7 linked regions of the Macaca mulatta genome follow. The protein of the gene in region 3 interacts with the protein of the main gene of each other region in a biochemical or structural test. Links are inferred from orthologs where the notes say so. Each region holds a gene or a part of one and is shown on either strand. Other genes may lie near its edges.

Region 1 (3,951 bases), on a different chromosome or scaffold from region 3:
ATGTAGGGAAACTGAGGCCTAGAGCGGAGAAGAGGCTTGCCGAAGTCAGCAGCTGATATATTGCAGAATTGGAACTCAAACCCAGGTGTTCTGCCCCTGGGCCTGGGCTCAGCTTCTCTGCGTGTCAGTTTCCCTGTTGGTATGAAGAGGGAGTTGGCCTTGTTGAAAGCTAAGCACCCACCCAGAGCTGCCCTGCGTGATGCCTCAGTTGTAGGAGGCAAGCCAGGGCTCTGTGGCCTGCCAGCCATGTGAATTGGGTGATCTCGGGCCTCCAGAGGCCCGCTTTCCTCATTTATAAAATGGTGGGAAGAGTGGCACCCTATAGAGACCCCCCACCCCAGTGTTGCATGTAGCAGGTGCTTAATGCTTGGAAGAGGTTTTATGATAGTTAACCTGATGCCCCCCACCCATGGCAGTGCAGCTGAGAGGGGTTGGGGCTGGGGCCTTTGTATACTCCAGCTCCCCAGCCCTGTGAACAGGTTGAGGGCTGCAGGCTGAAGGTGGGATCATGGTGGGGAGGGCAGGGTCAAGGGAGGAGGGGTTGGAGGGAGATATGGGGCTTGACACTGCTTTCCCATCCCCGGTCTGTTGTCCCTGCCTCTCTGCTCAGGCTCAAAGGGCTATTGAGGAAGCCTTCGAGGGCCAGAAGAAGGCAAGCTCATGGCCCAGCAGGACCCCGAATCCTGTGGAAATCTCCTCCGTCTTCTCAGACTACTATGATCTCGGCTACAACATGCGGTCAAACTTGTTTCAAGGTCAAGTCAAAGGGGAAAAGGGTGGGACCGGGAACACCCATGGTCTCCCAGGCATGGGGCAGGGAAGGCCTTTACCCCAGGGCACATCTCCAAGGACACTTATTTCATGCCCATGTGTCCTCTATGTCAGCTTGCGAGTGCTGGGAGCATCCAGACCCCTGTCCTGGATGTGTGGATGATTCATCCCAGTTGGCAGTCAGCCCCTCACGCTCCCAGACACCTGTGGCCCCTTCCCTTCCTTTCCATTCCCTTCCCTTCTCTTCCTTTCCTTTCCCTTCCTTTCCCTTCCTTTCCTTTCCTTTCCCATCCTTTCCCTTCCTTTCCCTCCCCTGCCCTCCCCTCCCCGCCTTCCCTTGTCTTCCCTTCCCCTCCCCTCCGCTCCCCTCCCCTCCCCTCCCCTCCCCTCCCCTCCCCTCCCTTCCCTTCTTGTGTTTTTTGAAGTCTCATCCTGTTGCCCAGGCTGGAGAGCAGTGGCACAGTCTTGGCTCGCTGAAATCTCCACCTCACACGCTCAAGCAAGCAATCCTCCCACCTCAGCCACAACCCTGCCCTGACAAGTAGCTGGGAGCACAGATGCATGCCACCATGCCTGGCTAATTTTTTTTTTGTTTTGTTTTTTGTATTTTTGATAGAGACAAAGTTTCATCATGTTGCCCAGGCTGGTCTCAAACTCCTGGGCTCAAGTGATCCACCCACCTCGGCCTCCCAAAGTGCTGGGATTACAGGCGTGAGCCACTGTACCCTGCCCACCTCTGGTTCTTAATTTGCCAGTAGGAGGCCCAGGACTCAGTAGAAGACCCAGGACTGCTGCTCCCCACCCCCAGCCCCATCCCAGGAACCTTTGATCACAGTGACAATATCAAGTTTTTTTGGTTCAAAACTCAGCTCACTAGCTGGGTGTGACCTTAGGTGGGATCCTCAACCTCTCCAAACCTCCACTGCCTTCTCAGTACAGTGGAGATGATAATGAGAGTATGGCCCTCGCTGGGTCATTGGCAGGACTTTATGAAGTGCCACACAAAGGTGCTTGGCCAAGGCAAGTCGTGAGCACTCAGTAGCTGTCAGGCTATCATTTTTCTTCTCCAGAGCCTGGAGGTGGCGCTACCTGGGAAGACAGGAAGGGTGGGTTGGAGGATCTGACATTTACAGAGGGTTTCCATTGGGTCATTGTAGTTCTGTTTGGTTGGGATGAGGAGAGTGCTGTTAGCTCCATTTCACGGGCAGATTTCAGATCATTTGCCCTAGAACTTTTAGTAGTCTGCATTGTGTCTGGGACTCAAAGTCAGGTGTTCCTTCTGCCTCCACAGCCTCATAGTCTTTTCTTGACCACTAAGTCTCTTCCCTAGCTTTGATCCTGTTCCCAGGGTCTTCTAGATGGCTCAGATGCCCGTCACAGCACGCAGGGACTTCTCTCTGCCCCACATTCTGATTTGGCCTCATTGCAAAATGAGACTCTTTCTGGTGCGGCTCCTTCCTCTCTCCTCACTCCAGGCCCTCTCCAGTGTTCCCAGAGGCCTGACAAACCTCTTCCACCTGGCTCGGATCCCTGTCACCCGAGGAACCAGACACCCACTGGAAGCCTTTCTGGATTTTTCTTTGAGCTTGGAGAAGGGATGGTGCTGGGGGAGGAAAGCAAGAATACAGTTCTGCTTGCTCTCTGTTCTGGGCCTTCCAGATCCTGCCTTCCAGTTCTCTCTTTAACAAGTATCGGTCACCAAATAGCTATTCCATACAACTTTGTATGATAATGTCTACTTAAATGTAAAATAATCTATTTTTTAAAATGTCCATGTCCCATCATCCCACCTGGGAAGTAGAACTGTGCCAAGGATGTGCTGGAGCTCCTAGCAGCTTGAGCCAGCTCACAGGAGGCAATTGTTTCGCTGCACTGATTGGCACATAAATGCTGTCTTAAAATTGGCTATGCTAGTAGTATTTACACTCTGGAAATTGGCAAACACTATGAATCAGGGCTTCACCCTGCAGCACAGTACTGTCAGTGTGCCCATCCATCTGTCCCTCTCTGTCTCCACCCACCCGGGGTTAGCCTTTGCGCTTGCTGTTTGAGGTTGGTGAGACTGGTATGGCTGCACAAGAGTGAGGCAGAAGACATCAGAGGAAACACACTGGCTCGTGAAGCCTGCTGGAAGGTCTTTACTCGGAGTGAGATGAGAAACCAAGCCAGGGTTTTAAGCAGGAGAATGGTCCTGTTTGGCTCAGGTTAAAGGCTCACTCCAGTTGCTATGGGGAGAATGGACATAGGGAGCTGGGGCAGAAACAGGGAAACCAGTAGGAGGCAGCTGCAAAACTCCAGATGGGACAGATGATGGTGGCTTGGTCCTGGAAGCTGGGCTAGTGCACTGCACGATTCTGGAAGGCACCATTGTGCAATATAGCAGCTCAGGGAGGTAATGGTGAAGGTGGCCTGATGTAGTAGGATTCTGGATATTTGTATAAGGCAGAGAGAAGAGAATATGCTAATGAATAGATTTTGGGGTGAGATACAGGAATTAAGGTTGATTTCAACGTTTTTGACCTGAACGACTGGAAGGATGAGATGGCTATTTACTGAGTTGGAGAAGGTGCTGGGGGAGCAGGCTGAGGGACTCCTATCCTATGCTGAATCATAGAGATCATCTTTTATACAGTCTTCTAAAATATTTAGCTTTGCTTTTCACATTTAAGTCTTTAATCCACCTGGAGTTGATTTTTGTTTTTAGTATGAAGTAGGGATTCATTTTCAAAAACTGTAGACGGCTTTTGTGAGTTTTAGCCACTTAAGAAAGTAGTAAAACTAGGCTTGAGGAAACTTTCGGCAGCTTGCCCAGCTGTATAAAAAGTGAGATGATGAGCTCGGGCACTCCTTGGGCATCTATGTGCCCAGCCCTCAAAATAATGGAACAACAACAACAAAAATCTTTCCCTAGTAAGGGTTCATTTTCAATTCCTTCTTTATGTGGATTACTGATTCCCTCAGCATCTTTCATTGAATAGGCTCATCTTTCCTCCCAGTGACCTGCAGTGGTACCTCTGTTATCCATCAGGTTTTGACACATGCATAGATCGGTTTCCAGGCTCTATTCTGTCCATTGGTCTAATATTACACTTTTAATCACTAAGATATTATAAGTGACCTGATATCTGGTCAGGCAATACTCCCACTACCACCCCTCCACCACCATCACCAGTTAATGTC
Region 2 (3,951 bases), on a different chromosome or scaffold from region 3:
TATATTTGAAGTACCAACCAGACACCCAAGCAGATATGCCAAATAGTTGTGTGTCTGAAGTTCAGGGGAGGGTTTGGGACTGGAAGCATAAACTCAGGAATTGATCAGTATACAGATGATATTTACTTAAAAACCTTAGGATGGAATGAAATTACTAGGGAATAAGTAGAGATAATATGGATTCAGTCAGTGACTCTCAACCGCTTATTTAAATAGGGAATCCAACAGGGTCAGGGGTTTATAATACTCTTAAACATAATAGGAAGAAAAGAAAATTCTAAAACACTCCTTGTGGCTTAAGTACTACATTTATTCCTTTCAGAAAACATGTCAGCCGGGTGCAGTGGCTCAAACGCCTGTAATCCCAGAACTTTGGGAGGCCAAGGCGGGTGTATCACTTGAGGTCAGGAGTTCTAGACCAGCCTGGCCCACATGGTGAAACCCTGTCTCTACTAAAAATACAAAAATTAGCTGGGCATGGTGTCAGGTGCCTATAATCCCAGGGAGGGCCAAGGCAGGAGAATCGCTTGAACCCGGGAGGCGGAGGTTGCAGTGAGCCAAATCATGCCATCACACTCCAGCATGGGGGACAAGAGCGAGACTTCGTCTCAAAAAAAAAAAAAAAAGGAAAGAAAACAGATGTCAATTTAAGTGTTAATCACTTCATCAGTGAATATTAAATAAGACAGCCGACCTGTATTGCAGCTTTTCAGAATTAAACAATATTTTACAATCTCTAAAGTATAGATATCCTAAGACTCATTTCAGATAACTCTTCTGAGGGTGGTTTTATAATAAGACAGAATAGGATTAAGTCTCCACACTAGACAGGTGAGTAAGATGGGCTCTTCTTGTCATGCTGAGTTTTGTTTTGTTTTGTTAGCTAGAAGTTAGCTACTAAGATACCCTGTTAAGTGGCACATTTTTATCTTCTTTCACCATTGTTCAAAATGTATAGTACAGGGTATGTCAAAGTTCTGTACCTTCTCCAAGCTGACAGAACAAATAGATATGAAAGCAATGTAAACAAAATGTATTAACTACTAAATTATGTCAAATGTAAAATATACTTTTTTTTGTTTTTTTTGAGACGGAGCCTCGTTGTGTCGCCTAGGCTATAGTGCGGTGGTGCGATCTCAGCTCACTGCAACCTCTGCCTTCTGGGTTCAAGCGATTCTCCTGCCTCAGCCTCCAGGGTAGCTGGGATTACAAGCATTTGCCACCATGCCTGGCCAAATTTTGTGATTTTGGTAGAGACAATCACCTGCTAAGAGATGCTCACAGTCTGCCTTGGCCAGTTTATAGCTATAAAAATGAGTTAGGTCAGTTTCTTGAGGAGGGATTTTCTTTGCAATACCGCCTAGAAACTAAGGTTCTTTTTTTGAGAAATGATCTCACTCTGTCACCCAGCCTTGAGTGCAGGGATGGGATCTTGGCTCATTGCCTCAACTCCCAGGCTCAAGCAGTCCTCCCTCCCCAGCCTCCCAAGTAGCTGGGACTACAGGCACCCACCACCACACCCAACTAATTTTTTATTTTTTGTAGAGACGGGGTTTTGCTGTGTTGCCCAGGCTCTCTCGAACTCCTGAGGTCAAGTAATCCCCCCCACCTCAGCCTCCCAACGTGCTGCTATTACAGGCATGAGCCACCACAACCAGCAGTCCATATTCTTAATGTATCCTAATATACATTAAGCTGTGAATGGCATATGGTAATTTTTGAATCACTTTTGGGAGGGCTTTTTTTTATAAAAGTTTTTTCAATGTAGTACATCTGTTACTAAGTACTTAAAACTAACCCAAGGAGGTATCACTAAAGGTTATTTGAAGACTTGTTTGAATGACTTGAGAATGATTTGAAATAAGATTATTAAGTATTTACAAATTCTGTGGACAGAAAGTGTTAGGACTTTTAGAAAATATCTTTAAATTCCTCAGCCATTTGTTTACACTATTTTTTTTTTTTTTTTTTTTTTTTGAGATGGAGTCTCGCTCTGTCACCCAGGCTGGAGTGCAGTGGCGCAATCTCAGCTTACTGCGAACTCCGCCTCCGAGGTTCACGCCATTCTCCTGCCTCAGCCTCCCTAGTAGCTGGGACTACAGGCCCCCGCCACCACGCCCTGCTAATTTTTTGTATTTTTAGTAGAGACAGGGTTTCACCGTGTTAGCCAGGATGGTCTTGATCTCCTGACCTCGTGATCTGCCCACCTTGGCCTCCCAAGTGCTAGGATTACAGGCTTGAACCACTGTGCCCAACCTGTTTACACTATTAAAAATAATTAAAAGTTTTGCTTAGGGCTGGGCGTGATGGCTCACACTTGTAATCACAGCACTTTGGGAGGCCATAGTAGGCAGATCACCTCAGGTCAGAAGTTCAAGACCAGCCTGGCCAACATGGTGAAATCCTGTATCTATTAAAAATACAAAAATCAGCTGGGTGAGGTAGCATGTGCCTGTAATCCCAGCTACTCAGGAGGCTGAGGCAGGAGACCCGCTTGAAACCCGGGAGGCAGAGAGGTTGCAGTGAGCCGAGATCATGCCACTGCTCTCCAGCCTGGGTGACAGAGCAAGACTCCATCCCAAAAAAAAAAAAACTTGCTTAGGACAAATTTTAACTCAGGTCTTTATTAAATTTAAAATTAGTAAGTCAGTTAATTGTTAACATTGCCCTCTTCTTCCTCCCCAACAGGAAGCCTCCTTGGTACAGGATTGATTGATTAATCATTTTGTTTGTTTTTAAGTAGTAGAGGTCGGAGAGTTGTGACATCTGAGGACCAAGTTCAAGAAGGGGCTAAAGTGCTGAAACTTAAAACAAAAATGGTAAGATGTGGACATAGCACTCCTAAATGGTCCCCCTTTCCGTTTTGCCTTTCCTAAACACTTTTCTTAAATAATTCTTTTAGGCTGATAAAGAAAATATGAAGAGACCTGCAGAGAGCAAAAATAATACAACAGTGGAGAAAAATTGCATTCCTTTAAAACCTTCAAATGAACTAACCAATTCAACTGTAGTAATTGACACGCATAAATCTAAGGATAATAATCAGACTCCGCATTTGTTACTAACTGAAGGTGATCCCCAAAGTCAACATATGACATTAAGTCAGGCATTTCACCTTAAAAACAATGGTAAAAAGAAACAAATGACTACAGAAAAACCAAAGCAAGATGCTAACGTACCCAAGAAACCTGTGCTTGGATCTTATCGTGGCCAGATTGTTCAGTCTAAAATTAATTCATTTAGGAAACCTTTACAAGTCAAAGATGAGAGTTTTGCAGCAACAAAGAAACTTTCAGCCACTATCCCTAAGGCCACAAAGCCTCAGCCTGTAAACACCAGCAGTGTAACAGTGAAAAGTAATAGATCCTCCAATATGGCTGCCACTACTAAATTTGTGAGCACTACATCTCAGAACACACAACTTGTGCGACCTCCTATTAGAAGTCATCACAGTAATACCCAGGACACTGTGAAACAAGGCATCAGTAGAACCTCTGCCAATGTTACAATCCGGAAAGGGCCTCGTGAAAAAGAACTATTACAATCAAAAACAGCTTTATCTAGTGTCAAAACCAGTTCTTCTCAAAATATAATAAGAAATAAGACACTATCAAGATGCATAGCATCTGAAGTTGTAACCAGGCCTGTTTCATTGTCTAATGATAAACTGATGGAAAAGTCAAAGCCTGTTGACCAGCGAAGACATACTACAGGAAAAGCAACTGTTGATAGTAGATCAGCTCAGCCCAAAGAAACCTCAGAAGAGAGAAAGTAAGTAGATGTAATTTTCTTTATTGCCTTAGTTTTCAATCAAGTACTGTTTGTAGATTTGGCTTATAATTTCCTTGACTGCATTAGAATTTTCTTTCATGGTTTCTCTTCTGTTGTATGCAGCAAATTTGTATTGTGGAGCAATATGACCTGAAAGTTTTTGTGTTTGAATATGTTTTC
Region 3 (3,951 bases):
TTCTGAGGCCTGAGCAGAACTGTCTCAGGTACCTGCCACGTGTGTGTCTCTAGGCCAGCAGAGCAGGGTCTGGCCCAGCCTCCCAGGGCCAGTCTGGCTCCAGGTCCTCCAATTCACCCTCAGAAGTGTCTGACGGTGTCCTTGCTTCTAGGGTGGCAGATGTTCCCGGCGCACTTCCTGCCCCAGACCTGGACTCTGCCATGATTCTGATGAGCCCTGGTTCACTTTGGTACTTAGAGAGCACAGTCTAGGTCCTAGGGATGCACACTGGCATTTGGTTGGTCCTTGTTTTTAGGCCTTTTCAGTGAGCAGAGCTGAGAAATTTGTGTTTATTTTTTTTTCAACTATATCACGAGTCCATCCAATCAATTCAGAACTGCAAGCTTTTACTTACCCTACTTTACAACTCTTTCTCTTTTAGCCCATGCTGAAAATCACGGTTTCCAGCAACAGCAATATAATTACTCATTAACTTACTCCACAACCACAAGCAGCATCTTAGAATAACAATCACAACAGTACTACCAACAATATAATTACTGAAACCTGTTTAATTAATATGTTTGCTTTTTGTTTTGTCCTTAGAGTACATCCCATCAGGAAGGCATGCTCCATTGCTGTGTTTTAGAATAACTTCTCTTTTTTCTGAGGCAGGGTCTCACTCTGTCACCCAGGCTGGAGTGCAGTGGCACAGTCACCACCCACTGGGTTCAAGCAATCCTTCTGCTTGTCAGACTCCTGGGTTCAAGCAATCCTTCTGCTTCAGCCTCCTGAGTAGCTGGGACTACAAGTGCTCGCCACCATTCCCAGCTAAGTTTTGTTATGTTTTTATTTATTTATTTATTTTTGTAGAGACAAGGTTTCACCATGTTTCCTAGACCAGTCTCAAACTCCTGAACTCAAATGATCCACCTGCCTCGGCCTCCTAAAGTGCTGGGGTTACAGGCATGAGCCACAAGGCCTGGTCAGAAAAACTTTTTTACACCATCATTTCTTAGAGTGCATCTGTGTCACAACACTCAGTCCTAATGGCATAAAATCTGATGCAAACTCACGAAGACTGACCTAAGAGAAACTGCAAAGTCTGTTCCATTTATCTTATTATGTCTCAAGCTCAGTGATATTCCCCCACTCTACCCCAGGCACCCTCTGCAAAGGTCATACTCCAGATGCTGTCTTTACTACTGACTGGGTGCCTCCCACCCACCCCATGGCAAGCATGTCTTTTCTGACGGCCACCTCCTACTTTTTCAGCTCACCCCACCTAATACCATAACTCTTGAGGTTTAAAAAAAATTTTTTTTTAACTCTAGCAATACCTAGGATCCTTTGGTACTTTCCGTTGTGCTCCCTGAATTTATGGCCTCACGTAGGTGCCTTGGTCCATCTCTGTATCACTCCCTTGAAAACACCCCGCCCCTGCCCCTCTCTCCCTCCTGGCAAAACCCCAACTTTGTTTAAACCCACCCTGTTGCCCCTTCTGCAATCTGGGGCAGCAGAACATTCTTGAGAAAGTCACATAACCAGGCTGACAGGTCTCATTTCCTTTTAAAAAATGTTTTTAAATTTTCTAATTTTTTAAAAGATGGGGTCTTGCTATGTCATTCAGGCTAAACTTGAACTCCTGGGCTCAGGGGATTCTCCTGCCTCAGCCTCTTGAGTGGCTAGGACTGTAGGCACATGCCACAGTGCCCTCATGTCCCCAGACACCCTGGCAGATACTACTCATTTCTGTTGTCTCTTAACCACAAAACCATACATGCACGTCTGTTTGTGTGGACTTTCTTCTGCTCTCCCTGCTCTTTCTTGAGTGCAGTCTAACCAGGTTCTGGACCCTACTGTCTGCTAAATAATTCTCATTGTGGTCAACATGGACTCTGTTCCCAAATTCCACAGTGGCCTCCCACCCCAAATTCAAAGAGGGCAGGGCAGGCCATAGGAGCTTACCTGGACTCCTCTTTTCCGTCCCAAAACACCACGGTGTACTCCTGGCCCTGGGACGAGAAGAAAGCTGTCTGCTTTCCACAGTGCAGCTCATACATGAAGATGGCAAAGGTCGGGTCCTTCATCTGGCTCACAACCGACAGGGCCAGCGGTCGCTGAGGGAGAGGAGCCACCAGAAGGGAGCAAGGTCACTTACAACCAGATTGGTGCCAATTCTGCCCATGAGGTCAGCCAGCTTCAACCAGGGAGAAATGAGGGATTCTGTTCGTTCAGATTGGATCCAAACAAGAGGCTAAAACAGCTTCAGATGTCAGGAGCAAACCCATCCAGATATCTGGGTCACCCTTGGCTATGGCAATTTAAACTCATCTGGTCAGGTTAGCTGAACCCCAGGTATTCCAACCCAGGCCAAGGACATACACTCTTCATCTCACTATATTGCCCAAGCTGGAGTGCAGAACCTACTCACAGGTGCAATCATAGTGCACCACAGCCTTGAACTCCTGGGCTCAAGTGATCCTCCTGCCTCAGCCTCCCCAGTGGCTGGGACTATAAGTCCATGTCACCATGCCCAGATAAAGACATGCATTCTTCTAAAGAATATCCTGTTTACTCTCAATACATTAAACTAGCTCGTTTGATTTAATAAATGAGTTTTAACCTTGAAACTACTAGCCTCTTCCAAAAACACAAAAACACCACCAACAAAAAACTAGCCTTAACACTATAATATGATCTCTGATTCTCACAACCAAACCTTTTCCCCGTTACTTTAGAAAGAGATACCCACATTCTCTCTGTTCTTGCACAGGGACTGTATTGTTATAAAGGGGCTGATATACTTTGTTTGCATGGTGAAGTAACACAAAAGTTGGGGAGGAAAAGGAAGTTTGTTTCCTAAGAGTGACATGCACACACAAAGAAAATGAAAGTAGATATGTTAGAAGCAGCAAATATCACCCTCTAGAAGAAATGAGCAGAGAAGGGTCGCCAATTGTGACGGGTGGGCAGCCACACACACATACTCTGGGGACCCACAGCTTCTGCCACATGGCAGGAGGTCCCAGGGCCCTGGGCTTTGTGCTCCCAAGTACCTTCTCTGGCTTAGTGTCCCAGCACTCCATCATGAGTGCCTGCAATCGATGGAACTGCACTTCCTCCGGCTGCCCCAGAACTGGGCGGATGCCCTTGGACAGTTTCTTGGCAATCTGGAGCTGGTGGTGGCCCAGTGCAGGTCGCTGTCCTGACAGCAACTCGTAGAGCACCATTCCATAGGAGAACATATCTACCTGGGCACAGAATAAGCCAAGTCAGGTCCCTGCCTGGGCCCAGTGGCCTTCACTAGTTGGCCCTGAGGTTGACAATTAGACAAGGAAAACAAACATTCAACCAACCACCTGACCATGTCCCTCTGTCCATTTATCCATCCATCCTCCCAACTACCCATCCATCCACCCATCTGACCACTTTCTCTTCTATCCATTTATCTCTCCATTTTCTTACCCTTTCTTCTTTCCATCCATCCATCCATCCATTTGCTTGTCTTCCTGTACATTTATCCATTCTTCTCATCTGTCCATCCATCTGACCACCTGTCCTGCACATTTATCCATCTATCTTCCTATCCTTCCTCTTTTCCATCCACCCATCCATCTGACTTCCCACCATATCGTCCATTTGCCCATTGTCCCATCCATCCATCCATCCATCCATCCATCCATCCATCCATCCATCCATCCTTCCTTCCGTCCAATAAAACATACTGAGAACTTGCTGTTAGTCACTGATTAAGGACTCCAAGGAGGTCATGGTCCTTATCCGTGAGTAGCAAGACAAGGCAGGAAAACACATACCCTCAGCTTGATGTGCTTGGTACTAAAAGTGCTGTGTATGCAACTCATAAAAAAAGGAGTGTCTCCTGGATCACAACATGTTGCCTTCTCTAATTTTCATAATCATAAAAAGGTCCAGCAAGGAAAATTTATACAGACCCCTATAAGGGTCAAG
Region 4 (4,683 bases), on a different chromosome or scaffold from region 3:
GTCTGGGTTTCTACTTCGTGTTACAGTCATTTCAGTGGGCACCACTCAGCTGCTTTGTAGTTTTCAGGAGCAGTTGTTCAGGGAGGATTTGGTTCATTGCTGGTGTGACATATGAGTGACGATGACCCAGGAAGTTCTGATGACGTGACTTCTCTCAGCAATGTTCTGGGTTTGCTAAGCTTCCTCAAAGCCTCTTTGGCACTTACGGAAGTTGCATTTCAAAACCTGTAACAGGAGTCCCCACCTAGGATGGCTCTTCAGTGCTACTCCTTCCTCCCAGTAGAAGCAACCTTTGTTTTTGTTTGTTTGTTTTGTTTTTTGTTTATTGAGATAGGGTCTCACTCTGTCACCCAGACTGGAATGCGGTGGTGTGATCACAGCTCACTGTGGCTTGGTCCTTCCATGCTCAAGAGACTCTCCTGCCTCAGCCTCCTGAGTAACTGGGAACAAATACATGCACTATCACACCCAGCTGATATTTTATTTTCAGTAGAGATGAGATCTCTCTCACTGTGTTGCCCGGTTTGTCTCAAACTTCTTGGCTCCAGTGATCTTCCCACCTTGGCCTCCCAAAGTGCAAATGAAAGCCACTGCAACTGGCCAGAAGCAACCTTTGACATTGGGTCTACTGCTGCCCTCAGTTATGAGAGAAGTTTCAACCATCCTTTTCACATTTTTTTTTTTTTTTTTTTTCTGAGAGAGTCTCACTCTGTTGTCTAGGCTAGAGTGCAGTGACATAATCTTGGCTCACTGTAACCTCCACCTCCCTGGTTCAAGTGATTCTCCTGCCTCCTCCTGCCAGAGTGGATGAATGGTTCTTCTTGACCATCTAATCACTGTCTACTAAGACTTTAAAACTCTGCATCAACATCACCTTCCAGGTTCTTCCTTCTCTCCCCTATGCGATGCCTGGCATTGAAAATTTCTGTCTATGACTTTATCATGGTATGTTACTGTTATTAAATATAGCTGGGGTTACAGGTGTGCGCCATCACACCCAGCTAATTTCTGTATTTTTAGTAGAGACAGGATTTTACCATGTTGGCCAGGCTGATCTTGAACTCCTGATCTCAGGTGATCCGCCTGCCTCCACCTCCCAAAGTCCTAGGATTACAGGTATGAGCCACCACGCCTGGCCCTTTTTCACATTTTTTTATACATGGATAAATAAGATAGAGATTAGAATTCTTATGTGCTGGGTGTATTTTCCCTTTGATAGTTTTACAAAATATTCTAGGTGTAGAATGTTTGGAACAGACTTCTTTCGTGTTTTCTGATCCTAGGGTTCCTGGGTTTTTGAGAACTTGTTTGTCTTGAAGTTTCCTTTAAGCCATGTACTCCTTGCATGCTTGTCTGTGCCCCTGCCTTCCAGGTACTGTGGGCATATGGGGGTTCCTTCTATTGAGTTTTCAGTTTTATTTTTTGAAAGAGAATGCAAAATAGATTGGGTCCTATGCCACCTTGTCAGTGATATGGTTGTGCATATTGTTGATATCAGTTAAAGGGCAATCACAGGAGCGTATCTATATATATATATATTTGCATAACAAGGCCGTAAGTTAAAGAATTCACCAAACAAAGGCCGTAGGTTCACGAGTGAGACTGTTTTAATTGAACTGGTATTTGTACAAGGTGACACCCTGTTGCATACCACAGACCTCCTCCCTGAGTGACTCAGCCGCTGAGAAAGAAACCTCTGAACTGTTCATTAATACAGTCAGGTAGAGGTTGAGACTCCACTGAATAAACTCTAGGTTCCCATTTCTTTCAGTCAGATCCTCCCAGGGAATCACTACAGGCCGGTTAGCCAAAAAGTCCTGGTTTTCTGCTCAATAGAGGTAAGTTGAATTATACTTGCAAACAGAAATACATCTGCTGTATGTGCACAGCTTTCTCTGTGTTCCTTTCAAATGATTAAAATTAGAACTTACAGTATTATCTTTGTCTTTTCTTCCTATAAATTTTGACAGCCTCCAGCTGACTGTTAGCTCTGCTCTTCCTTGCTGTACTTTTAGGCCACATTGCATTGAACTTCTTGGCAACTTTACACATTACGGGCATCACAGAAATGAGCACCTATTTGATTTTCTGGGTGGGAGCTGTCAGCTGGTGAATCCTGCCACACAAAGGATAATAAATTATTTAAGCGAAGGGACCAGCACCTGCTGGTTTATTTTCTCAAGTGACTATACAAACATTTTTTAAAGGAACTTTCTGTTTTCATAAATGATGCTTTTAGTGAAATAGTGAACTCAAATATTGCTTTATAGTTAATAAGTCATATTTTTTCTCTACTGCTAAAAATATTGCAAGTTGTTGAGCTATGAGAGAGAGAGGTTTATTTTTATGAGGTTTTTGTCTCCACCCTATCTTCCCCAAATAAGAAAATTGCCATTTCTTACTTGAAAGTACCAAGGAGTAAAGGCAGGGTGTGGGGGCAGAATAGGGGTATATATGATCTGTGGGCATCTGGCCAACTTCTCTACAGTATATTCTGCATTCTAACCTAAGGAGTGATTAATATATATGGGGGCAATTTTCAAACTTTATTCATAGCCTAGTCCTGAAAAACCAGTTTTGGGAGACTTTTGGTAAGGATAGAAGAGTTCTTTTGTAATTAATAGTTAAGCTGACTTGTCTGGTTTGTGTTTTTTTTTTTTTTTAATCATTTCTATTTATGATACAGAGCTGTGGAATTCAAATGCAGGGGCCACTCACAGCTTGCAAATTGCAGGTCTGTGTCCTCCAGAGAGGCGCCCCCACAGCATACTTGGCTCTATCTTTAGTACTTGAGTTCTCATGGCTTCCTATTGCTGACCAGGTCACCTGCAGTCTGAGAGGGGTTTAGGCACACCAGTGCTCAGTGCTCATTTCCCAGAGGTTTACCGAAGAATTTTATAACTTGGCTTTCAAGTGTTTATAGTAACCAGAAAACTAAAGCATAGCATGTGTGGGTAATTTTATTTTTCATAAAATGTGATTACATTTAAAACTGTCTTTCACTTCCACAGTTTATAACGTAGATATAGCCTTCCTAATATTTGCAGTGCTCCAGTGTTTAAAGTATCAGAAACATCAATTTGAGAAAACTGAGAAATGACAACAGTAAAAATTTTAGTAAAACATTCAGATGATCCTAAATGTTGGGATATACAGAGAATGCCAACAACAGGTCAGAATTTTTATTGGAATGTTAGCTTCGTGTAAATCTTAGATCTAATTGACTGAATATTTCAACTGAAATGGAGCATAGGCCCATCTAGTCTAATGCCTGAATTTTCTAGATGAGAAAAACAAAGCATAAATGTTAAGTAACTTGTGAAGATCAGAGTAGCAGAACCAGAACATGAAGCCAAATTGCTTGTCTTTTGTCTTACTGAATTTTCTCAATATTTTTTTCAAATACTTTTTATTATAAAATATGTAGTAGCAATAAACGAACCACACTCCATCACAGACTGTGGTTATCCAGCAATATGTGGAAATATTATACTGTGTATGGTGTGACTAAGACATAATGGAAGACGTAGACATATGTTTCCAACTTGTGGCTTGTGGAATCAGTGTTGCCATTTATTATATTTATGAGATTTTCATCTCAGGATCCAGTAGCCCCTCAGCAGGGAGGGGATCTGATGTATGTGTGTTAGCTGTGGTCTGTACAATCAGAACACCCTCGCCCCGAATGCCATTCTGTAGGTGATGCTTACCTGACTGCCTTCTCAGACTACCAGAATTATGATGAAATACCTGAGAGGTTCATATTCCTGGGGACTATGTAAACAAAACAAAGAATATGTTTTGAATGACTGAGCTCATACTGTGGAATGAACTAAGCAGTCAACTTAAGCAAACATTGTTTAACTGAGAGCATCCTATATGGTTCAGGCATCAACTCCCACCATTTCTTAAGAGTGAGGGGATCAAATCTTTGGCCCTGCAGTCCAAGGGAAATCTTTATTGGTTTCACTTGGCTTCACTTTCTGTCATTATCCTGCTTCTAGACCATTTGTTGATCATTTTCCATTTGCTCTGGCTAGGGACTTTGAAATAAAGATTTTTATATATTAATTGCTGCATACATAGCTGGAGTTGTTCCAAGTTCACTTCTGAATCAAAAGTCATTTTTGTTGTTGCTTTTTTTTTTTTTTGAGATGGAGTCTCGCTCTTTTTGCCAGCCTGGAGTGCAATGGCACGATCTTGGCTCACTGCAGCCTCCGCCTCCCATGTTCAAGTGATTCTCCTGCCTTAGCTTCTCGAGTAGCTGGGACTACACGTGTGCACCTGACTAATTTTTGTATTTTTAGTAGAGACGGGGTTTCACCATATTGGCCAGGCTGGTCTCGAACTCCTGACCTCAGGTGATATACACGCCTCGGCCTCCCAAAGTGCTGGGATTACAGGCATAACCAATGCACCTGGCCTTAATCAAAAGTCTTTATCAGTTATATTCCTTAAGTGTTTCCAGCTTACCACTGTACAAATGGTAAACTGTGATTTTTCCACGAACTTGTGATTTTGGGGCTTGGGAGAAGCTCTTCCTTACATGGATGCTTTGCCAAATGACAGCTACATTTACTAGACTTTCATTTCATGTTGATTACTAAATTTTTTAAGGATATGAGTCATCTTTTTATTGTAATACTTAACTGGAAGAGTGAATTTTATAGCTATCTATTAAAT
Region 5 (4,432 bases), about 86 Mb from region 3:
CACCTCTTGATTTCGTGATCTGCTCGCCTCGGCCTCCCAAAGTGCTAGGATTACAAGTGTGAGCCAGGGAGCCCGAACAATTTTTAATTAGCTCTTTTTTACACTTCTTTAATTATTGTTTAAACCAAGTTTTCCAGCCTCCTTCATTAGCCTGTTTGGTATTTGCATGCTTTGCTTGAATATTTTATCTCCAGCCCATTCCACACCGTTAGCCAACATTTTCATCTGACAGATGGAATCAAGGCCTAGGCCTCCTTTAAACAAAACATCCCTCCCAAAAGTATGACTTATAAAAATTGCTTGCCACTCTTTCTTGCTACAGACATTCTTTGCGGATCTTTGGCCAGTAACATGCATATACCCACACATAGTTTGCAAATAAGAACAACTATTGAACGTGAAGTGCTACAAAAGTACGATGATAAAGTATAAAGTGTTCACCGCTTGAATAAAAGCTCTAATAATTTTAACAAAGCCAAAACACAAACACACACACACACACACACACCACGAAAAAAAAATGCACGCTAAGCCAAGAGCTCTTTAAATATAAAAAATCATCATTCTCGGGAACAAATAAGATAGCTACAAACTTGCCAGGTGACTCTTATGCTTAAAGGTTCTGGCTGTCAACAGTCTCCGGCGTGGCGGCGGCACCCTCAGTCCCATCCGACCGAGAGCCCTGACGCGGAAGCCTTGGGGCTGCGGGACTGTTCGGGATCGGACGCGAGCGCACCTGCAGAAAGGCCTGAGGCGGCTGTGCATGGCAGGCAGCTGCCCCGAGGCCCCGGTTTGTCTTTCCTTCCGGTCACCCCTCCCGGCCCAATATCCCCAGGCGCTTGCTTACGCCGCTGGGCGCCGTATCCCTGCGCTCGGCGCCGCGCTCCGGAGCGAGTTGACAGCCGCGGCAGACGAAGGAGCGGCTGAGAGCGCGGAGAAAACTCTTCTTCCCCGCCCGCAAGGCCACCATGGCCCCACGCCCCCACGCCCCCTGGCTCCCGCGGCGCACGGCAGCATTGCGACGGCGCGAGAGACCGCTTTACGGCAGGGTCGCGAAGCCCGAGGGAGGGCGGCGGTGCGGCCGACCGTGCGCTTTCCCCGCGGTACGACGGGCTACGGGAGCGGCGGGCGGCGCGCCGCTGACCCGGGCGGCCGCTCCTTGGTCGCTGTCACTCCAGGTTGCCTTGCTGCGCCGCTGGCGGTGGGCTTGGCGCTGTCGGCGGCTAGGCGCGGACGCCGGAGGAGGTGTCCCCGGGTTTAGGGGTGTTCGGCCAGGGGCGTGGGCTGGCTGGCCCGGGCGACGGCCGGAGCTGCGGAAGTCGTGGAAGCGTCGGCGACGCATCGCGCGATGGCGCGGGCAGGACAGGTGAGCGAAGCGCGGCGTGTGGCCTTTTCCCTCCGTCGGGGGGACGAGTGGGGCCCCCCGTCGGCGCGGGGCTCCCCGCTGGACCACCTCTCTGCCAGCGCCCACCCCAGCGCGGCCTGTCGGCTCAGGCCGAGCAGAGTTGGTCTCGGCGCCGTCCCCGTCCCTGGCTCGGACGCTGTCCAGGGGTGGTCGGGCCTGGTCTCTGGTGTCTCCGGCGGGGCCTTGGCTCCTCTCCTTCCCCGGCTTCCCCCGGCCGGGCCGAGGGCCCCTCGCGCGCCCATTGTGAGGTCAGGGCCTGCGGGCGCGCCCTGGCACCTAGGCCGAGACGCCCGGAGCGGCTGCTGCAGCCAGTAGCAGCCCCTTCACCGCCGGCCCCTTCACCGGCTGCCCCGCTCAGACCTAGTCGGGAGGGGCGCGAGGGATGCAGCTGGGGGCCCAGCTCCGGTGCCGCACCCCGTAAAGGGCTGATCTTCCACCTCGCCACCTCAGCCACGGGACGCCAAGATCGCAGCCAGCTCAGACCTCTTCTGGGTAAAGAGCCAAGAGGGAAGGGCGAGGCGGGGAGGAAGGAACTCGGGCCGCCTGCCCTCCGTGGCCTCCAGAACATCCACAGGGGATGGATGATGCGTTTCCATTGGTTACCCACCTTGAGCGAGCCGTTTGATAGAAACCAAGAGCTTGAAACGTGCATTAGGCGATTGTGGACTCTCAGTGGGAGGCGAGTGAATGAATTATTCAGTTACCACATTTTCGCAGGTTGTAGTTTTTTGAGACAGTGGAGCATGTTGGGGGCTGAGGAGGTGCTGGGCCTCGAAAGCCCAAGGTGGTGCCCTTCAGCGCAATCCCCGTCGCTCTTCTTTACCTGTGGGGTTTTTATCTCTTCGGGGAGACATCTGGGAGGGAAGATGTGTGAGGAGCTAAAAGGGTGGGGAGGGGAAGTGCACAAAGGGAAGAAGCGGGAACTTGGGGATATCTGAGAGCCACTGGTTTTTGTTCTACTGGTTCAGTTTATTTTGCTTAGAGTTTCTGGAAACTAGGCATAGCTGTGTGGCGGGGCGGGGTACTGTTAGTGTTCGGAAGGTTACAAGAGCTACTGTTTCACCTTGCATAAAGGTGCCCTGCCGGTTCCAAATAGTTTGTGCGGCGTACGGTGACTCACACCTTAATCCCAGCACTTTGAGAGGCGGGGGCGGGCGGATCGTCTGAGACTAGCCTGGGCAATATAGTGAGACTTGTCTCTACTAAAAATAATAACATTAGCTGGGCGTGGTGGTGTACGCCTGTAGTCCCAGCTACTGGGGAGGCTGAGGTGGGATGACTGCTCGAAAGTATGCCTTTTTAAAATGAGAATTTTAGAATGACTTAGTATACCATTAGTGTTCTGCAGAAGCCTTGTGCTGTAATAAGTTATTCTTGTCATCTTTTAGTGCTTGTGAAACTGAACACAACAAAAGTATGGATATGGGAAACCAACATCCTTCTATTAGTAGGCTTCAGGAAATCCAAAAGGAAGTAAAAAGTGTAGAACAGCAAGTTGTCGGCTTCAGTGGTCTGTCAGATGACAAGAATTACAAGAAACTGGAGAGGATTCTAACAAAACAACTTTTTGAAATAGACTCTGTAGATACTGAAGGAAAAGGAGATATTCAGCAAGCTAGGAAGAGGGCAGCACAGGAGACAGAACGTCTTCTCAAAGAGTTGGAGCAGAATGCAAACCACCCACACCGGATTGAAATACAGAACATTTTTGAGGAAGCCCAGTCCCTCGTTAGAGAGAAAATTGTGCCATTTTATAATGGAGGCAACTGCGTAACTGACGAGTTTGAAGAAGGCATCCAGGATATCATTCTGAGGCTGACACATGTTAAAACTGGAGGAAAAATCTCCTTGCGGAAAGCAAGGTATCACACTTTAACCAAAATCTGTGCGGTGCAAGAGATTATCGAAGACTGCATGAAAAAGCAGCCTTCCCTGCCGCTTTCCGAGGATGCACATCCTTCCGTGGCCAAAATCAACTTTGTGATGTGTGAGGTGAACAAGGCCCGAGGGGTCCTGATTGCACTTCTGATGGGCGTGAACAACAGTGAGACCTGCAGGCACTTATCCTGTGTGCTCTCAGGGCTGATCGCTGACCTAGATGCTCTAGATGTGTGCGGCCGGACAGAAATCAGAAATTATCGGAGGGAGGTAGTAGAAGATATCAACAAATTATTGAAGTATCTGGATTTGGAAGAGGAAGCAGACACGACTAAAGCATTTGACCTGAGACAGAATCATTCTATTTTAAAAATAGAAAAGGTCCTCACGAGAATGAGAGAAATAAAAAATGAACTTCTCCAAGCACAAAACCCTCCTGAATTGTACCTGAGCTCCAAAACAGAATTGCAGGGTTTAATTGGACAGTTGGATGAGGTAAGTCTTGAAAAAAACCCCTGCATCCGGGAAGCCAGGAGAAGAGCAGTGATCGAGGTGCAAACTCTGATCACGTATATTGACTTGAAGGAGGCCCTTGAGAAAAGAAAGCTGTTTGCTTGTGAGGAGCACCCATCCCATAAAGCCGTCTGGAACGTCCTTGGAAACTTGTCCGAGATCCAAGGAGAAGTTCTTTCATTTGATGGAAATCGAACCGATAAGAACTACATCCGGCTGGAAGAGCTGCTCACCAAGCAGCTGCTAGCCCTGGATGCTGTTGATCCGCAGGGAGAAGAGAAGTGTAAGGCTGCCAGGAAACAGGCTGTGAAGCTTGCCCAGAATATTCTCAGCTATCTCGACCTGAAATCCGATGAATGGGAGTACTAAAATACCAGAGGTCTCACTTTTGATATTGTTTTGCACTTCATATGTGCTTCTATGTATAGAGAGCTTTCAGTTCATTGATTTATACGTGCATATTTCAGTCTCAGTATTTATGATTGAAGCAAATTCTATTCAGTATCTGCTGCTTGTGATGTTGCAAGACAAATATCATTACAGCACATTAACTTTTCCATTCGGATCATTCTCTCTATGATGTGGTGTGGTTTGTTTGGTTTGTCCTTTTTTTGTGTGTTTTCAATCAGAAAATGA
Region 6 (3,951 bases), on a different chromosome or scaffold from region 3:
TCAAGATCAGATATGTATTATAGAGATTGAATTGATGTAATTATTAGAGACCTTAAGAACACTATAGAGTGGGTAAAGTTGGTATTGTGGTTGTAATGTGATGTTGGAAACTGAGTGGTAGAAAAGGCAAACATTAATATGAGTTTGTTACAATACTGAAGTCAACAGGATTCTTATGTTCCTTCAGTTATAAGTTATGATTTTGTGGAAGGCTATAGTACAATGTGTTACTGTCTTTATTTCATTTGGTATGAAAAATTTTATGGAATTATTATTCAGTTGAGAAGTCTCACAACTAGGAAGTAGCTCAGTTAAATATATTGTAAGATGCTGAAAGTAATCTATTTTTTCATGCTTTCCCTTTTACTTCCTTTAATGTACACTGACGTTACAAAGAAAGGAGAGTTTGTCTGTTTTCCTGAAAGTCATCTACCACAAGTCTTTTGTTGTTCAGAAAAGTGCCTGCATTTGACATATTTGATGGCAATTAGAGTCATCTTTCTTCACTAACAGGGTCAGTAGGTCTTCTTCATAGAGTTAGAACCACAATGTTCAGTAATGTTGTTGGCAGTAGAATGCAACACTGGGGACTTTTGGAGCTTCCATCTTGTTAGTGTGGTCCCTAGAAAGGAATTGGCAACTAAATTTTAAGGAATGGCCAAATTGACTAATTTTGTTTTCCCTCTCTTGGCAAAAAGTCACAGAATAATGGTGGTTGTGAAATAATCTCATTATATGGCTATTATTTAATTTAATTTATGAAATTTAGATTACTAAGATGAGTTTATCTTGATTTTTTTCCTAAGTAGCATAGTAATGTAATATATTAAACATTCATGTTCTGGAGAAATCATTAAATTGTGGCCGGTGCCCAGAGAGCCATTATATTGTGCCAGTTAACACAACTCGGACTTGAAAATGTATTTGGAACAACTATTCTTTAACTCACTGATGCTAAAATGCTATAATAGTGGTTTTTTTCTTGTTTCTCTAAAATTGCTAAAGGCATTCTTGTTTTCTAAGGTAGAGAAAGGCTCTTTCTCACAAAATTTCATGAGGCATAATTATCTCATCAGTGCTACCACAGGCTGAGTTCTGGCCTGTGGTCTGGTCTTACAGGCACAGAATATGATGTTTGTCATTTAAGGAGATTGGATCATTTTTTAGAGGCAAAATAAAAACAAATTTAGCATTGATGGATGAGATGAGAACATGGGATTTTTAAATTTACAATGAGAAATATGGTAAACTGCCACAGAAATTTAAAAAGAGTTTCACGACAAGCTTATTTTCTCCTAGAAAGGAATCACACATTGGAAGCCTGCTATGAATGGAAATAAAAAAGAGCAAGCTAGGTGAATTAAATGTTTATTAGTTTCAGATTAGCATAGTAAATTCATATATGTCTACAATAAGGGTGATATTGCCAGTAGGTGGTACACGTTATTGTACCACACACAAATGACTCTTTCTCACACTTTTTTCAGCTTTCACTACCTAGCTTATTGTATTCTGGCTTCTCCTGAAACTACCATTCTCTTTAAATTACTATTCCTAAAGATACTAATGACCTTAATCGATTATTTTGGTATGGTAAGGGCCTAAGTATGATACTGAAAGTAGAAATATAAAGAAAAGATTAATACGTTTGTTTATATCAAAATAATATCTTATATTTAACTAAAGGCAAATAGGATATAAGGGAAAATCATTTATGACAGATAAGAGCTTCATCACATAAGGAGTTTTTACAAATTAAAGACTAACCCAATATAAAATGATTAAAGAACATGGATAAATAGTTCAAAAGAGAAGAAAATAGAAATGTTCAATAAATGTGGCCAGGCATTGTGGCTCACACCTCTAATCCCAGCACTTTGGGAGGCTGAGGTGAGCAGATCAGGTCAGGAGTTCAAGACCAGCCTGGCCAACATGGCGAAACCCCATCTCTACTAAAAATACAAAAATTAGCTGGATGTGGTGGCACACACCTGTAATCCTAGAATCACTGGAACCTGGAAGGCAGAGGTTGCAGTGAGCTGAGATGACGCCACTGCACTCCAGCCTGGGTGACAGAGTAAGACTCTGTCTTAAAAAAAAGAAAGAAAGAAAAAGAAAAAGAAAAAAATGTTCAATAAATGTGGAAGAGTTTTTCAAATTTACTGGTAAGCAAAAGAAATTAAAAATGAAACACCGTTTTCCCCATTAGATGTAAGGAGTAACAACAGTAACAGATAGTGACACAGTGCTCACATGTGCCAAGTGCTGTTTTCAGTACATTCTTAAATTAACTAATTCTTCTACCAGTTCTGTAAATATGTACTATGGTTATTCACATTTTACGTATGACCAAACTGAGCACATAAAGATAAGTAACTTACATAAGTTTACATAACGAAAAGTGATAAAGCTAAGATTTAAACCTAAGCTCTCTGACTCTAAAAGTTTTAGTGTTCTTTAACTATGACCCGTTATTGCTGCTCAAAGATTTTAATAAATAATAATCAGTGTTTTGTTATTATAAATGACGTTACAGTAAACATCTCCCTGAATACAAAAAATAGTAATAACCAGTGTTAATAAGGGTACCTAGTAGCAGGCATTACTGGCTGAATATATATTAGTAGACATTTCTGTTAAGACACTTAATATGTTTGAAAGCCATACTGTAACATGGGCATATTCTTTGAATTCAGAATTTATCCTAAGGAAATCCTTACCGTAAACACAATAAAATATGTGTACAAAAACTATCTGAAATCGTTCTATAATAGCAAACATTTTAAATGAATGTTGAATAAAAGGGGATTGGTTAAACAACTTCAAGAAATAGTGTATTATTAGGCTTTCATTCTTTTTGGAGAAAATAAAGTAATGCTACTAATTAATTCATGTAAGTTTGCCTTTCTCTCTATACGTTAAGTATATGCAGTATTTGGCTTTCCAAAGCCTTCTTATAAAGTTGAAATATCACCGTTTGTTTTTTCTTTTCTCTTTTTAGATGTAATTAGGTTGTACTAGTACAGTATATAAAGTGTAACTTTTAGTAAATATATTAAATATCCTTTTTTTAAATGTTAGCAAATCACTAAAGAATTAGATTTTGAATTAAACATTGAAATTGTTATAATGTTTTATCTCTCATGTTATAAATGCTTTATCTTTTTTGTTAGTTTTTTAAATGTCTAGCATATCTGTAAAGATGCCTTAGAAAAAGAATCATGGAGAAGTATGTTAGACTACAGAAGATTGGAGAAGGTTCATTTGGAAAAGCCATTCTTGTTAAATCTACAGAAGATGGCAGACAGTATGTTATCAAGGAAATTAACATCTCAAGAGTAAGTATATTTTTAGTTTGGTTTCATGAGTAATAGTTTGGTTACATTAGAGCTCATTGCTAGAGATTTTCTTTAAAAAAAAAAAAAAAGGGTAATTGATAACCAAAAGCAAAAGATTCCTTTATTCCCACTAATATCAGAATAGCCTATATATATTCTTTCAGATTTTTTCTATGATATGTGCTTATATTTATGTGTTTAGAAAAATGTACTTGCTGTTCTGTAACCTCATCTAGTTTGGACATCTTAAAATGTTTCTACTTTCAGATTCAACTCATTCTTTTTAACTTCTTGCTGTATTTTGTTGATTGAACTGTATTAATACTATTATATTTTAACCACTCGCCTATTGATGGACTTTTAGGTTGTTTATTAATGGTTTCATTTACTATTTTCTTTTCTCCTCCCATTTAAGATGTCCAGTAAAGAAAGAGAAGAATCAAGGAGAGAAGTTGCAGTATTGGCAAACATGAAGCATCCAAATATTGTCCAGTATAGAGAATCATTTGAAGGTCAGATAAATTATGCGAGAGAGTTAAAAAATCCTAAGACGTTAATAAATCTTTTTGTGAATACATTCTTAGGAAAAAGATATCATTTTCGCTTAAAAACA
Region 7 (3,951 bases), on a different chromosome or scaffold from region 3:
CACCTCAGCCTCTAGCATGCGCCACCATGCCCGGCTAATTTTTGTATTTTTAGTAGAGATGTCATTTCACCATGTTGACCAGGCTGGTCTCGAACTCCTGACCTCATGATCCATTCACCTCAGCCTCCCAAAGTGCTGAGATTACAGGCGTGAGCCACCGCGCCCGGCCTCAGTTTCTATTTTTATACCTCCCATCCTTTATCAGTTACAACACTGTCTTTCTTCACTTTTATTTTAGCATCAACTTCTTCAAAGTCAAATCATCCTGAGTTTCCTTCTCAGAATTTGGAATATAAAATGTCTAAAATCCTTAGCTATCACTTCTAGATCTACCTGTTAACATGCTATCTTAAGCTAAATATAAATCCCATTTTGCTGTGTTTTGGGGATGACAGAAATCGATGACTTAATAGATCAAGGAAAAAGAGATGGTGTGGAAATCATTTTTTAAAAAGTTATTATTTTAATAACCTAATTTTTCATACAGATTACTGATATTCATTTCAATATTCAAATGTAAACAATGAATTTCATTTTTATGGAGAAAAATAAAAATGAAAATAGGAGGTGAGAAGATCTAACTTGTAAGGAAATAGGAAAATTCCTTTACATCACTGGTCAGAATTTAAATAAAATCAGGAACTATCCATCACAGATTAAGTACAAGTAGCTCTCTAAAAGCTATATATTTATTTGTAACAAATTATACTGATGCTTAAAGGGAAAAGATATTTCTCTGAAATACTAGAAAAATAGGAGCTTAGGTATACAATATATCCAAACTTATAATATAATGTGTATGACATACAAAGGTCATGGACATTTTATGTTTGGAATATTATTTCCTTTGGAGTTACTGAATGATTGTCACTAACAGCCCTGGGAAAAAAAGGCATAAACTCTTTCAACATTCAAACAGCAGGCATACTATGTTTCATAATATAAGCTAGTTGTCAGATGGCATGTAGGTCAAATCCTAACTACCTGTTTTTGTAGATATTTTATTGGAACATTGCCACACTCATTCGTTTATGTACTCTGTGGATGTTTTTATGCTACAACAGTGGAGGTGAGTAGGTGCGACAGAGGCTCCATGACCAGCCAGCCTAAAATATTTACTACCTGGCCCTTTACAGAAAGTGTGCTGACCCCTGACAAGGGTTAAATGGTTTGAAAAATCTTAAATTTGGGACGTGGCAAAAACCAGCCAATAGAAAGGGAAACAGGGCTAAAAGAAACTAAACTATCATTCAACTCCAAGAAATATCAACACGTTTTATTACATGAAACTCACAAAACTGCAAGGCCTTCTGTCTAAAATGCTTATCGTCCCTCAAGGTCAACCAAAAGCATTTAAATTGCTCATCTCTTTATGTGTCCAGAACTATTAGGCAAGCTAAAAGAATTTGGAACAATTGCCCTCTAGTGGTATGCAAGTGGGATTGGGAATGTTTTTATAATTCTTCGACTTAAAAACTACATGTAAAAACTATAAGCTGTTATAGGAATTATGCTGTCTTATAATACAAAACTTTGATGAGAATTGTATTTTAAAATGCCTTCCTTCTTCCAATCTGAATTCTAATCATCAAAGTCCATCCCAAATTCTACCTCTTTTCTGAATTCTTCCCTGGCCCTTCTGATTCACATGAACTCACTTCCCTAGATTCCTGGTATTGACCATGTAGTATATTTTTTTACTTTCTTTTTTAAAAACAGAACAATTCTTGCATCAAATAAAATTTTACACAGAAATCTACAAAAAAGCTGTGCTGCTCTGGTTGAAAACATCCCTACCTGAATGTCTTATAATGTGTCAAATTCAGTATGTTCAAAACAGATCTCATCAACTACCTCTTCTCTCTGTATAAATATGGCAATTCTTTTGCATTCCCTGTATTGATGTACAGCACCAACATTTACCTACAAAGTGAGGGTCCTCTCTGCTGCCACAATCAATCAGTCACTTTGTCAACTCTACCTCTTTTATTTTTTATTTTTTCCTGCTCCCCTTCCCACTTTGACCTCCTTGATAATCAGTTCTATCAGCATCTAATTACTTATCTTAATTCCAACTCCTATCATACAAGTTAAGAGTCTCTTAATTGGTAAGATTACTGAAACAGCCTCCTAACTCAGTTTTTTTCCAATCCATCCTGCGTATTTTTGCCAGAGTAATCTCTCTAAAATGCATATCCAATTTTATCAATCTCCTGCTTAAATCAACCAGCTCCTCATGTCCTTTAGAAAAAAATCTAGACTCCTTCAGCATTGTTTTGCAAATCTCTAATGCTCTGACTTGTGCTTGCCTCCTCAGTTTCACCTCTTATTATCACTCTGGGTAATTCATTAAGAGTTTTAACTATCTTTAAGTTTTATATTTTTTCCTCATATTGTGTAAACGGAGAGACTGTGGGGGCTCAGCAAAGTTAGGTAGCTTGACCTAGGTTATATAATATCTACTGACTAATTGCCTTAATAGTACCTAGGCAGGAGACAGAGAGATAATCTTTGTAGACCATGACTATATCTTGATCATCTTTGATTCTCCTGTCAATTAACAGATATTGACTAAATGTTGAACAAATGAATAAACTAGTGAATGACTAGCAAGCTGGTGAATATTACTCAATGTATCTGAACTATTGGGAAATAATTTTTAACATAACCAGAATACCTAGGATGTCACAAAAATAATAAGATTTATAGATCTACAAGTGCTATAATATTTAGACACAGTAAGGGAGATTTCTAATATAAGAAGGTATTACTTATATTCAAAAAAATTTCTACTTTAGTATATGTGAGAGGAGAGATGTAAATATTTAACACTTTGGTTTTACCTTCCTGGCCTGCTCTTCAGCTCTTTCCTTTTTAATTTTTTCCAGTTCTGCAAGAAGAGCTGCAGTATCATCATCATCACTTTCTTCTTCAAAATCTTCATCTTCTTCCTAAAAGAACAGTGAGAGCCCAGAAGATTGGAGGGAAAATATACATTACCAAAACACAGTACATATGTACAATATATCACCCTAAGAAAGTCAAAACAATTTTATGTAGCTCAAAACAACTTTAAGCTAGCAAGTAAAGATAATCAAAAGTGCAAAAAACTGCTAATTTCTCAGAAGAAAATAATTTCAAATGAATAATCATTAAATTTCACTTGAAATTAGGTTTCTTGTTTTAACTATTATGAGTAACTCCATCATTTAACTCTAGAATTAACTGCTGATATGTATACACAGGTAGATATTACTCATTGGATGCCACTCAGGTTTTTCACTGTCCTGTATGTAGAAAACTGCAAACTGATTATAGGCTCTAGGGTCCCACAGAATTTTATCATTAACTGATGTGCTAATCCTTAAAAACCTTCTGCTTAGATTACTTCCCTCACTAAGCACAGAGGGAACCATTAAGTGTACTCCACTTATAGAAAGGGGCATATCTAATGTGGAAAGGCCTCCAGGTACAACTCTAGAGGGCACTGTTTATAGGAAACCCAGTGTGAAGAGTGCCCTGTAGAGGTGTGTAACACACCATAGTGCAGTAGTTTAGTACAGGACATTATTTTGCGGGAAAGCATGTCTTTTAAGATTCCTTCCATATTTGGTTCTCTAGAGACCAAACTTGTTCTTAAAAGTCCCACAAAATAATACTTTTTGTTTTAAAATCAACTATAAAGTTTAGCACTGAGGTCAGGGTTATATTTGAATAACAGCAAGCAAATATATGTCACTTCTTAAAGCCAAAGGCATAACAAGTATTTCAGAAAAACATGGTAAATCAATTATTAGAGATGAAAGGAGAAAACAAAACATACATCTGTTAGAGGGTCATCTGCATCAAGGTTGGCAGCAGGAATCTGGTCTAACCGTGGCTTTTTTGACACTGAAGAGGAGGTTGTATGTTCTGAGGGGAAACAAAAATCACTTAACTTAGTAAAACAAA

Evidence for each region.
Region 1: the proteins of LRRK1 (region 3) and CIMIP4 form a complex in vitro, tested with the Homo sapiens proteins (2 studies listed by BioGRID and IntAct, with this or other methods). The link is inferred for Macaca mulatta from reciprocal best matches to the Homo sapiens genes LRRK1 and CIMIP4.
Region 2: the proteins of LRRK1 (region 3) and CKAP2 form a complex in vitro, tested with the Homo sapiens proteins (2 studies listed by BioGRID and IntAct, with this or other methods). The link is inferred for Macaca mulatta from reciprocal best matches to the Homo sapiens genes LRRK1 and CKAP2.
Region 4: the proteins of LRRK1 (region 3) and SCEL form a complex in vitro, tested with the Homo sapiens proteins (2 studies listed by BioGRID and IntAct, with this or other methods). The link is inferred for Macaca mulatta from reciprocal best matches to the Homo sapiens genes LRRK1 and SCEL.
Region 5: the proteins of LRRK1 (region 3) and BAG5 form a complex in vitro, tested with the Homo sapiens proteins (2 studies listed by BioGRID and IntAct, with this or other methods). The link is inferred for Macaca mulatta from reciprocal best matches to the Homo sapiens genes LRRK1 and BAG5.
Region 6: the proteins of LRRK1 (region 3) and NEK1 form a complex in vitro, tested with the Homo sapiens proteins (2 studies listed by BioGRID and IntAct, with this or other methods). The link is inferred for Macaca mulatta from reciprocal best matches to the Homo sapiens genes LRRK1 and NEK1.
Region 7: the proteins of LRRK1 (region 3) and CWC15 form a complex in vitro, tested with the Homo sapiens proteins (2 studies listed by BioGRID and IntAct, with this or other methods). The link is inferred for Macaca mulatta from reciprocal best matches to the Homo sapiens genes LRRK1 and CWC15.

Annotation. Positions count from the first base shown.
Region 1 is NC_133415.1:14,555,860-14,559,810, forward strand, and holds part of CIMIP4 (ciliary microtubule inner protein 4), read left to right. Parts: intron 1-610; coding exon 611-755; intron 756-3,951.
Region 2 is NC_133422.1:31,690,490-31,694,440, forward strand, and holds part of CKAP2 (cytoskeleton-associated protein 2), read left to right. Parts: intron 1-2,740; coding exon 2,741-2,819; intron 2,820-2,902; coding exon 2,903-3,771; intron 3,772-3,951. UniProt on the Homo sapiens protein: Possesses microtubule stabilizing properties. Involved in regulating aneuploidy, cell cycling, and cell death in a p53/TP53-dependent manner.
Region 3 is NC_133412.1:91,426,089-91,430,039, reverse strand, and holds part of LRRK1 (leucine-rich repeat serine/threonine-protein kinase 1), read right to left. Parts: intron 3,234-3,951; coding exon 3,039-3,233; intron 2,100-3,038; coding exon 1,948-2,099; intron 1-1,947.
Region 4 is NC_133422.1:72,336,746-72,341,428, forward strand, and holds the start of SCEL (sciellin), read left to right. Parts: upstream 1-1,603; 5' UTR 1,604-1,838; intron 1,839-4,683. UniProt on the Homo sapiens protein: May function in the assembly or regulation of proteins in the cornified envelope. The LIM domain may be involved in homotypic or heterotypic associations and may function to localize sciellin to the cornified envelope.
Region 5 is NC_133412.1:176,980,250-176,984,681, reverse strand, and holds the start of BAG5 (BAG family molecular chaperone regulator 5), read left to right. Parts: upstream 1-1,338; 5' UTR 1,339-1,986; coding exon 1,987-2,084; intron 2,085-2,793; coding exon 2,794-4,165; 3' UTR 4,166-4,432. Other genes in the region: COA8 (cytochrome c oxidase assembly factor 8), read right to left, coding at 848-970. UniProt on the Homo sapiens protein: Co-chaperone for HSP/HSP70 proteins. It functions as a nucleotide-exchange factor promoting the release of ADP from HSP70, thereby activating HSP70-mediated protein refolding.
Region 6 is NC_133410.1:178,070,438-178,074,388, reverse strand, and holds part of NEK1 (serine/threonine-protein kinase Nek1), read left to right. Parts: intron 1-3,173; 5' UTR 3,174-3,221; coding exon 3,222-3,338; intron 3,339-3,753; coding exon 3,754-3,850; intron 3,851-3,951. UniProt on the Homo sapiens protein: Phosphorylates serines and threonines, but also appears to possess tyrosine kinase activity. Involved in DNA damage checkpoint control and for proper DNA damage repair.
Region 7 is NC_133419.1:95,758,758-95,762,708, forward strand, and holds part of CWC15 (spliceosome-associated protein CWC15 homolog), read right to left. Parts: intron 3,913-3,951; coding exon 3,824-3,912; intron 2,952-3,823; coding exon 2,844-2,951; intron 1-2,843. UniProt on the Homo sapiens protein: Involved in pre-mRNA splicing as component of the spliceosome. Component of the PRP19-CDC5L complex that forms an integral part of the spliceosome and is required for activating pre-mRNA splicing.